Linked DNA regions of Schizosaccharomyces pombe. The protein of the gene in region 1 interacts with the protein of each later gene in a biochemical or structural test. Each region holds a gene or a part of one and is shown on either strand. Other genes may lie near its edges. The genes, in order: arp3 and wsp1.

Evidence for each region.
Region 2: the proteins of arp3 (region 1) and wsp1 form a complex in vitro, tested with the Schizosaccharomyces pombe proteins (3 studies listed by BioGRID).

The regions. Positions count from the first base shown.
Region 1 is NC_003424.3:348,459-352,384, forward strand, and holds arp3 (ARP2/3 actin-organizing complex actin-related protein subunit Arp3), read left to right. Parts: upstream 1-1,974; 5' UTR 1,975-2,018; coding exon 2,019-2,053; exon of another isoform or gene 2,054-2,116; coding exon 2,117-2,140; exon of another isoform or gene 2,141-2,212; coding exon 2,213-2,741; exon of another isoform or gene 2,742-2,836; coding exon 2,837-3,436; exon of another isoform or gene 3,437-3,501; coding exon 3,502-3,597; 3' UTR 3,598-3,838; downstream 3,839-3,926. Other genes in the region: GATOR2-SEACAT complex ubiquitin-protein ligase E3 subunit Sea4, read left to right, coding at 1-1,454. UniProt on the Schizosaccharomyces pombe protein: Functions as ATP-binding component of the Arp2/3 complex which is involved in regulation of actin polymerization and together with an activating nucleation-promoting factor (NPF) mediates the formation of branched actin networks.
Region 2 is NC_003424.3:4,861,761-4,865,686, reverse strand, and holds the start of wsp1 (actin assembly factor), read left to right. Parts: upstream 1-2,179; 5' UTR 2,180-2,238; coding exon 2,239-2,454; exon of another isoform or gene 2,455-2,539; coding exon 2,540-3,880; exon of another isoform or gene 3,881-3,926. Other genes in the region: SPOM_SPAC4F10.16C (P-type ATPase), read left to right, coding at 1-1,103, 1,150-1,726. UniProt on the Schizosaccharomyces pombe protein: Has a role in regulating actin assembly, so regulating polarized growth.

The DNA.
Region 1 (3,926 bases):
AAAAGGGCTACCAATTTGATTCCCAAAAAAACTCAGAATTAGTTTCTGATTTATACTTAAAAGATCTATGGTCTTGGATTCACTTAAGCCATAGACAATCAGAAGAATCACTGTTTGGAGACACAGGAGATACAGATTTCAGCTATCAAGGTGCACTAGGTATTTGGTTTATGGATACTGAATTGACTAGCATGTCCGATGTTTTTGAAGCAAAAGAAAGCAAATTTTTAGAAAAAAAAATTTTAAGACTTGCTAGAGATGTTATTGAGAGACTTGATTTAGATATATTTACGTCTATCCAAACTAAAAGGCCTTTACGCCAACTCGCTTTACTTGCCTGTGGATTAGGAATGTCAAATGATGACTTGTTGTTGGAAATTAGAAGACTGATTCGCAAGAATGAGCATGTAAAAGCCGCTGGGTTAGCACTTTTCCACGGAAAAATTGAAAACGTAGTCCGTATATTATCAAGTGGGAATGAGCTGGAGAAGACCATATCCACAGCAGTTGCCGGATACATTACATCGCAAGGCTTAAGTAACTTTGGAAGTGACTCATTGTGGAAAGAAATGTCTCGTAACTTAAGTACAGAATTGGAAGATCCATACTTACGTGCAATATTTGCGTATGTTTCCAACTCCGATTGGAGAGATGTATTAGATGAAGTTTCTCTCTCATTAAAAGATCGTCTTGGAATTGCTCTTCGCTTTTTACCAGATGACGATTTGAGTAATTATTTGTGCGATTTATGTCACACTACAGTGCAATCAGGCGACCCAGAAGGCCTGTTACTTACAGGTTTAACTCCTTTGGGAATGGAACTTCTGCAGAACTACATTGATCATACAAGCGATGTTCAAACTGCTGCATTGATTGCTGCATTTGTGGTACCTAAGAAATTTCTGGATAAACGTGCAGAGGATTGGACTGAAAGTTATAGAGAGCTTCTAAACCGCTGGAAACTTTACCGTGAGCGTGCAAAGTTTGATATCTTTCGGACAGAACTCTCAAAAAATCACACAGGAGAAATAACCAGAAAGGCTACAGAGCCATCTATACGCATTATCTGCAATTTTTGTAGAAAACCAATTTTTCCTTTCTCCAATAGGAATGAATGTAATAATTTACCAACGCCAATTCAACGAGGTGTCAGTAAAGCAGGCCCAGCAAAACACTTGGGAAAAAGTTGTCCTCATTGCGGACAGCCTCTTCCAAAGTGCTCTGTATGTGGGTTTTCTTTAGGAGATGAAGATGTTCCTCAGAAAGATGACTTTTCTCAAAAACCTCAAAACTATGTCAAAGAAGTTAATCTTCAGAAATCTAGATTTGGGTTATGGTTTAGCTTTTGTCTAAATTGTGGCCATGGAGCTCACGCATCTCATGCTTCAGAATGGTTTTCAACTCATACAATATGTCCGGTTCCTAACTGTGATTGTGAATGCAAACTGAAATAGAAATTGCAAATGAGAGCATTAATTAATAGCATTAAAATAACAGTTTATGGTTTGGTTCACAAGTAATAATTGCTACATGAGTGAATATAAAATCCATGATTACAGCTTAAAAATGTTTAAGGCTAAGAGGTTTAAAGCATAAGGTCTTTAATACTATGATTTGTTTAAAAATTCGACATAGCTATCTACATTTGTAATTGTTTGATAATACCAACGTGGTTAGTTTTATTACTGAAAAGGGATTAACGCAAGATCGTTAATATTTAATTTTCTAGTAGCAAGAAGCGTCTTCTAGCTTAGCAACTTGGTAATTTTAACCGGTGGTACTGGTATTGAAGAAATACATATTTAATTTTTTGTGTAAATTAATTTGGCCTTAGTAAAGATATCCAAAGTGGGTTGTATACGGGCATTCGCATTTAACGTAATCGGCTCATCTCGTAAATTACCATATGTTTCCCGTTAACCCACGTAATTCGACATCGGTGACCGTTGCGAGACGATATTAAGAGTTTCAACTGGAACCAACTTCTCTTTCGCTTACCTTTTCATAAAATAATAGCAATGGCTTCGTTTAATGTTCCCATTATAATGGACAAGTAAGTATTGATGTAGCGAAGTTAAATTGTTCGTGAATATCAGTTACTAACTTTATTTGTTAGCGGTACCGGCTATAGCAAGCTTGGGTATGTGTAATAGTCGTTTTAGGATGTTATTATCTCTCTTTTGAGCATTTATTAACAGTAATTTAATTTCAGCTATGCTGGGAACGATGCTCCTTCTTATGTATTCCCCACTGTTATTGCGACGCGTTCTGCGGGTGCTTCTTCAGGGCCGGCTGTTTCATCAAAGCCTTCTTACATGGCCTCGAAAGGCAGTGGGCATCTCTCAAGCAAAAGGGCAACTGAGGACTTGGACTTTTTTATTGGAAACGATGCATTGAAAAAGGCGTCTGCTGGATATTCTTTGGACTATCCTATCCGTCATGGACAAATAGAAAATTGGGACCATATGGAGCGTTTTTGGCAACAGTCTCTCTTTAAATATTTACGTTGTGAACCAGAGGACCATTATTTTCTTTTGACCGAACCTCCTTTGAATCCACCTGAAAACCGTGAAAATACTGCAGAGATTATGTTTGAGTCGTTCAACTGTGCAGGACTCTACATTGCTGTTCAAGCGGTTTTGGCTCTTGCCGCCTCTTGGACATCTTCAAAAGTTACTGATCGTTCGTTGACCGGTACTGTTGTTGACTCTGGTGATGGCGTTACTCATATTATTCCTGTTGTATGTATAAAAAATCTAATACGAGCTTAGATAAACAGTTTTGAACATTAAATGCATATATATATGCCCGAATTTTACTAACTGATAAACCTTAGGCCGAAGGATATGTTATCGGCTCTTCCATTAAGACAATGCCACTTGCTGGTCGTGATGTTACGTACTTTGTTCAATCCTTATTACGTGACCGCAATGAACCTGATTCAAGTCTCAAAACTGCTGAAAGAATTAAAGAGGAATGTTGCTACGTTTGTCCGGACATTGTTAAGGAGTTTAGTAGATTTGATCGTGAGCCCGACCGTTATTTAAAATATGCATCTGAATCAATTACTGGACACTCTACTACTATTGATGTAGGATTTGAACGCTTCCTCGCACCTGAAATATTTTTTAATCCTGAGATTGCTTCTTCCGATTTTTTGACCCCTCTTCCGGAACTTGTGGACAACGTCGTACAGAGCTCACCCATTGACGTTCGTAAAGGCCTTTATAAAAACATTGTCCTTTCTGGTGGTAGTACTTTGTTTAAGAACTTTGGCAACCGCTTACAAAGAGATCTCAAGCGGATTGTTGACGAGCGTATTCACCGCAGTGAAATGCTCTCCGGTGCTAAAAGTGGTGGTGTAGACGTTAATGTTATCTCCCATAAACGTCAACGAAATGCGGTTTGGTTTGGCGGCAGTTTACTAGCACAAACGGTATGTCATTATCTTATGTTTGTATATTTTTTAGTTTACCCGTAGAGATTTACTGACATGTTTAGCCTGAATTCGGATCCTATTGCCATACCAAAGCAGATTACGAAGAATATGGTGCTTCCATTGCTCGTAGGTACCAAATTTTTGGAAATTCTCTTTAATGAAATATATCATGAGTTTTGCGTCTATAGGATTTACTGATTAAAATGAAAAGTTTAATGGAGCAGGCATTAGCCTTAGAAGAAATAGACTTGAGGTTTGCTATGTTTCCAGGCTTTTTCATTGAGCAATATCAAATAAGATGTATATAATTAACTTGTCCAAATAATAATGATGAGAACCATGAGAATAATAATATAGTGATTACTAATAACGTAAAAGGAGAAAAAAAAAGAAAACGGATGAAACCGATGGGTTCCGCCTGATAAATACTTTATTATTCAAGAACGATGGATAAAATGGAAAGTGTACAAGTACTCAACGAATTTGT
Region 2 (3,926 bases), 4.5 Mb from region 1:
ACGAAGAAGCATTTAGCTTCATTTTCATCCGAAGGATTTCGTACGTTATGTATCGCTCGTCGAACTATTGATAAGCAAGATTATCTTGAATGGAAAGTGAATTTCAACGAAGCTAATAGTGCCATTCATGAACGGAACGAAAAGGTCAGTAAAGTTTCAGAGATGATTGAGCAAGAGCTTGAATTACTCGGTGGAACAGCAATTGAAGATAAACTTCAAGAGAATGTACCAGAAACTATCGCTCTTTTGGCTATTGCTGGAATTAAGTTGTGGGTGTTGACTGGTGATAAGGTAGAAACGGCAATCAACATTGGGTATTCATGCAATCTTCTTGATCCAAACATGACTATTTTTCGAATTGATGCAAACTCTTTCGGTGCCTTAGAAGAAGTAGAAGCTTTTATTAGAAACACATTATGCTTTAATTTTGGATACATGGGAACGGATGAAGAATTCAGATTTTTGTTGAAAGACCACAGTCCGCCATCTCCGAAACACGCCATAGTTATTGATGGGGATGCCCTGAACTTTGTTTTGTCTGAACAGGTCTCTTTTCTTTTTTTAATGTTATGTAAGCAGTGTAAGACAGTTTTGTGCTGCAGGGTTAGTCCCTCTCAGAAGGCAGCTGTTGTTGCTTTAGTCAAGAAGAGTCTAAATGTTGTCACTTTAGCAATTGGAGATGGCGCTAATGATGTTTCGATGATTCAAGAAGCCGACGTTGGAGTAGGGATAAAAGGCGTTGAAGGGCAAGCAGCTTCAATGTCGGCGGATTATGCCATCGGTCAATTTTCTTTCCTAGGGCGACTACTTCTAGTTCATGGACGATGGGACTATAAAAGAATGTCTCAAATGATTTCATTCTTTTTTTACAAAAATGTTATTTGGACATTTATACTTTTTTGGTATCAATTTTATAACGAGTTTGATGGAAACTACATATTTGATTATACCTACGTGATGCTTTTTAATCTGCTGTTCACATCACTACCCGTAATTATTGCAGGTTGTTTTGACCAGGACGTTGACGCATCTGTTTCAATGAAAAATCCAAGCTTATACCAACGGGGAATTTTAGGTCTAGAATGGAACGGAAAGAGATTTTGGTAAGTATAACTCTGAAGATTTCTGTTTGCTAAATATTTATTTTAGGTCTTACATGCTAGATGGAATATATCAATCATTGGTATGCTTTGGGGTAGCTCTATTTGTTTTTAAGTTTGGTGATTTTGTAAGTTGGACTGGAAGGAACATCGAGTGTATAGAAGACATAGGACTTTTTATATCCTCTCCTACTATTTTTGTAATCAACATTTTTATATTGATGAATCAAGAGAGATTGAATTTAATATCACTTATTACTTGGATGTTCAGCATAGGTGTATTTTGGATATGGACATTTATTTATTCAGAAGTTGGCCCCTCTTACGCTTTCCACAAATCAGCTTCGCGAACTTGTCAAACTTTTGGCTTTTGGTGTGTTACTGTTTTAACCATTGCCTTATGTTTGTTGCCTCGCTTTTCCTATATTTGCTTACAAAAATTGTTTTATCCTAGAGATATTGACCTTTTACGGAGACGACTTTGTGCAAAGTCAGATGATGAGACTAGCAGTAGTTCATCATTTGCAACAGATATAGAAATGTGCGAACAATGTAACGACCCATTAAGTTCGAAAAAAAATTCCGGTATTGTTACTTCAGTTTCATTCGATGATTCTAATAAGTAGCCATACATCTGAGTTCGCACTGTTTGTTTATGTAGTTATACTACTCCTACCGGACGAGAGTCTTTTTATTATCCTCAACATCACGAATGACTTTTTCTTAATGTTCCCTTTTTTTTCTAATAATTAATGATTATGATTAAGTCATTTTTTTAATAATCTTATAATAAACTAACATTATGAGACAAGCAAACTTCGTATGGTTGAATAAATTTTATTTACCTCTTTACAATGAGGACGATAAGTATGTAGAATGTAAAAAATATTAAACCCGAATTAATGTCTCAAGTTTTATTAATCTATAAACAGTTAATATAATTAGCAAAATTTACCAGCTGCTAATAAGTGCGTTGCAAATTTTTATAGTACATAGCGTAGTATAGTATACTACACTAATTATCACTCATTGGCTTGTTAACTACAGTGAAAATGCTAACAAACGGGAGGAACCAAAACACCACTTATACCACTGTGAGACAGCAATTTTTGAATTGCATTACAATCCGAAAATTCAAATGCCTCCATCTTCCTCTATAACTCAAGAGGATAAGGCAACTATCCGTAAATACATACCTAAAAGCACAAATAAAATCATTGCAGCAGCCGTCGTCAAGCTATATGTAGCTTATCCTGATCCGAACAAATGGAATTATACAGGTCTTTGTGGTGCTCTTGTATTGTCCTATGATACAACAGCAAAATGCTGTTGGTTTAAACTGGTTGACGTTGTGGTATGTGTATGAAGCTTTGATACTCAAAGCAAACTACAAAGAGTGGTATACAATTTAATTGAATTATAACCTTCTAACGTTTTAGAATAATAGTGGTATAATATGGGACCAAGAGCTTTATCAAAATATGGACTATCGCCAAGATCGTACATTTTTTCATTCTTTCGAGCTTGATAAATGCCTAGCAGGTTTTAGTTTTGCAAACGAGACAGACGCTCAAAAATTTTACAAAAAGGTTTTAGATAAAGGTTGCCATCCTGAATCAATTGAGAATCCGGTTTTGTCATTTATTACCAGAAAAGGTTCTTCTAGACATGCGCCTAACAACAGCAATATCCAACCTCCCTCAGCTGCTCCTCCTGTACCTGGAAAGGAAAATTATAATGCTGTTGGATCTAAAAGTCCCAATGAGCCCGAGCTTTTAAATTCGCTTGATCCGAGCTTAATTGATTCTCTAATGAAGATGGGCATTTCCCAGGATCAAATTGCTGAAAACGCAGATTTCGTCAAAGCGTACCTTAATGAATCAGCTGGTACACCTACCAGTACTTCTGCACCTCCCATCCCTCCAAGCATTCCTTCCTCTCGTCCCCCAGAGCGTGTTCCTTCTTTGTCTGCACCTGCTCCTCCCCCAATTCCACCTCCATCTAATGGAACTGTCTCTTCTCCTCCTAACTCCCCTCCCCGTCCTATCGCTCCTGTTTCGATGAATCCTGCTATTAATTCCACCTCGAAACCTCCACTCCCTCCACCATCTTCAAGAGTCAGTGCGGCAGCTCTAGCTGCTAACAAAAAACGACCTCCTCCGCCTCCGCCTCCATCCCGTCGTAATCGTGGTAAACCACCGATTGGTAATGGTTCTTCTAACTCGTCTCTTCCTCCACCTCCACCACCTCCTAGATCTAATGCTGCTGGCTCAATTCCTTTGCCGCCTCAAGGTAGATCTGCTCCTCCTCCACCTCCTCCAAGGTCTGCTCCTTCCACTGGGAGACAACCACCCCCTTTATCTTCATCTCGTGCAGTTTCAAACCCACCAGCCCCTCCTCCAGCTATTCCTGGTCGTTCTGCGCCTGCACTTCCCCCTCTTGGTAATGCATCACGAACAAGCACACCTCCTGTCCCTACACCTCCTTCTCTTCCTCCTAGTGCACCTCCATCTTTGCCCCCCAGTGCACCACCTTCTCTACCTATGGGCGCACCAGCTGCTCCCCCCCTACCACCTAGTGCACCAATTGCTCCTCCTCTACCCGCTGGTATGCCAGCTGCTCCACCATTGCCTCCCGCTGCACCAGCTCCTCCTCCAGCTCCAGCTCCTGCGCCCGCCGCGCCTGTTGCTTCGATAGCTGAATTGCCTCAACAAGACGGCCGTGCTAATTTAATGGCCAGTATCAGAGCCAGCGGTGGTATGGATTTACTGAAAAGCAGGGTAAGTATTGATATTATTACTTAATGGTTACTCGTACTAATATTTT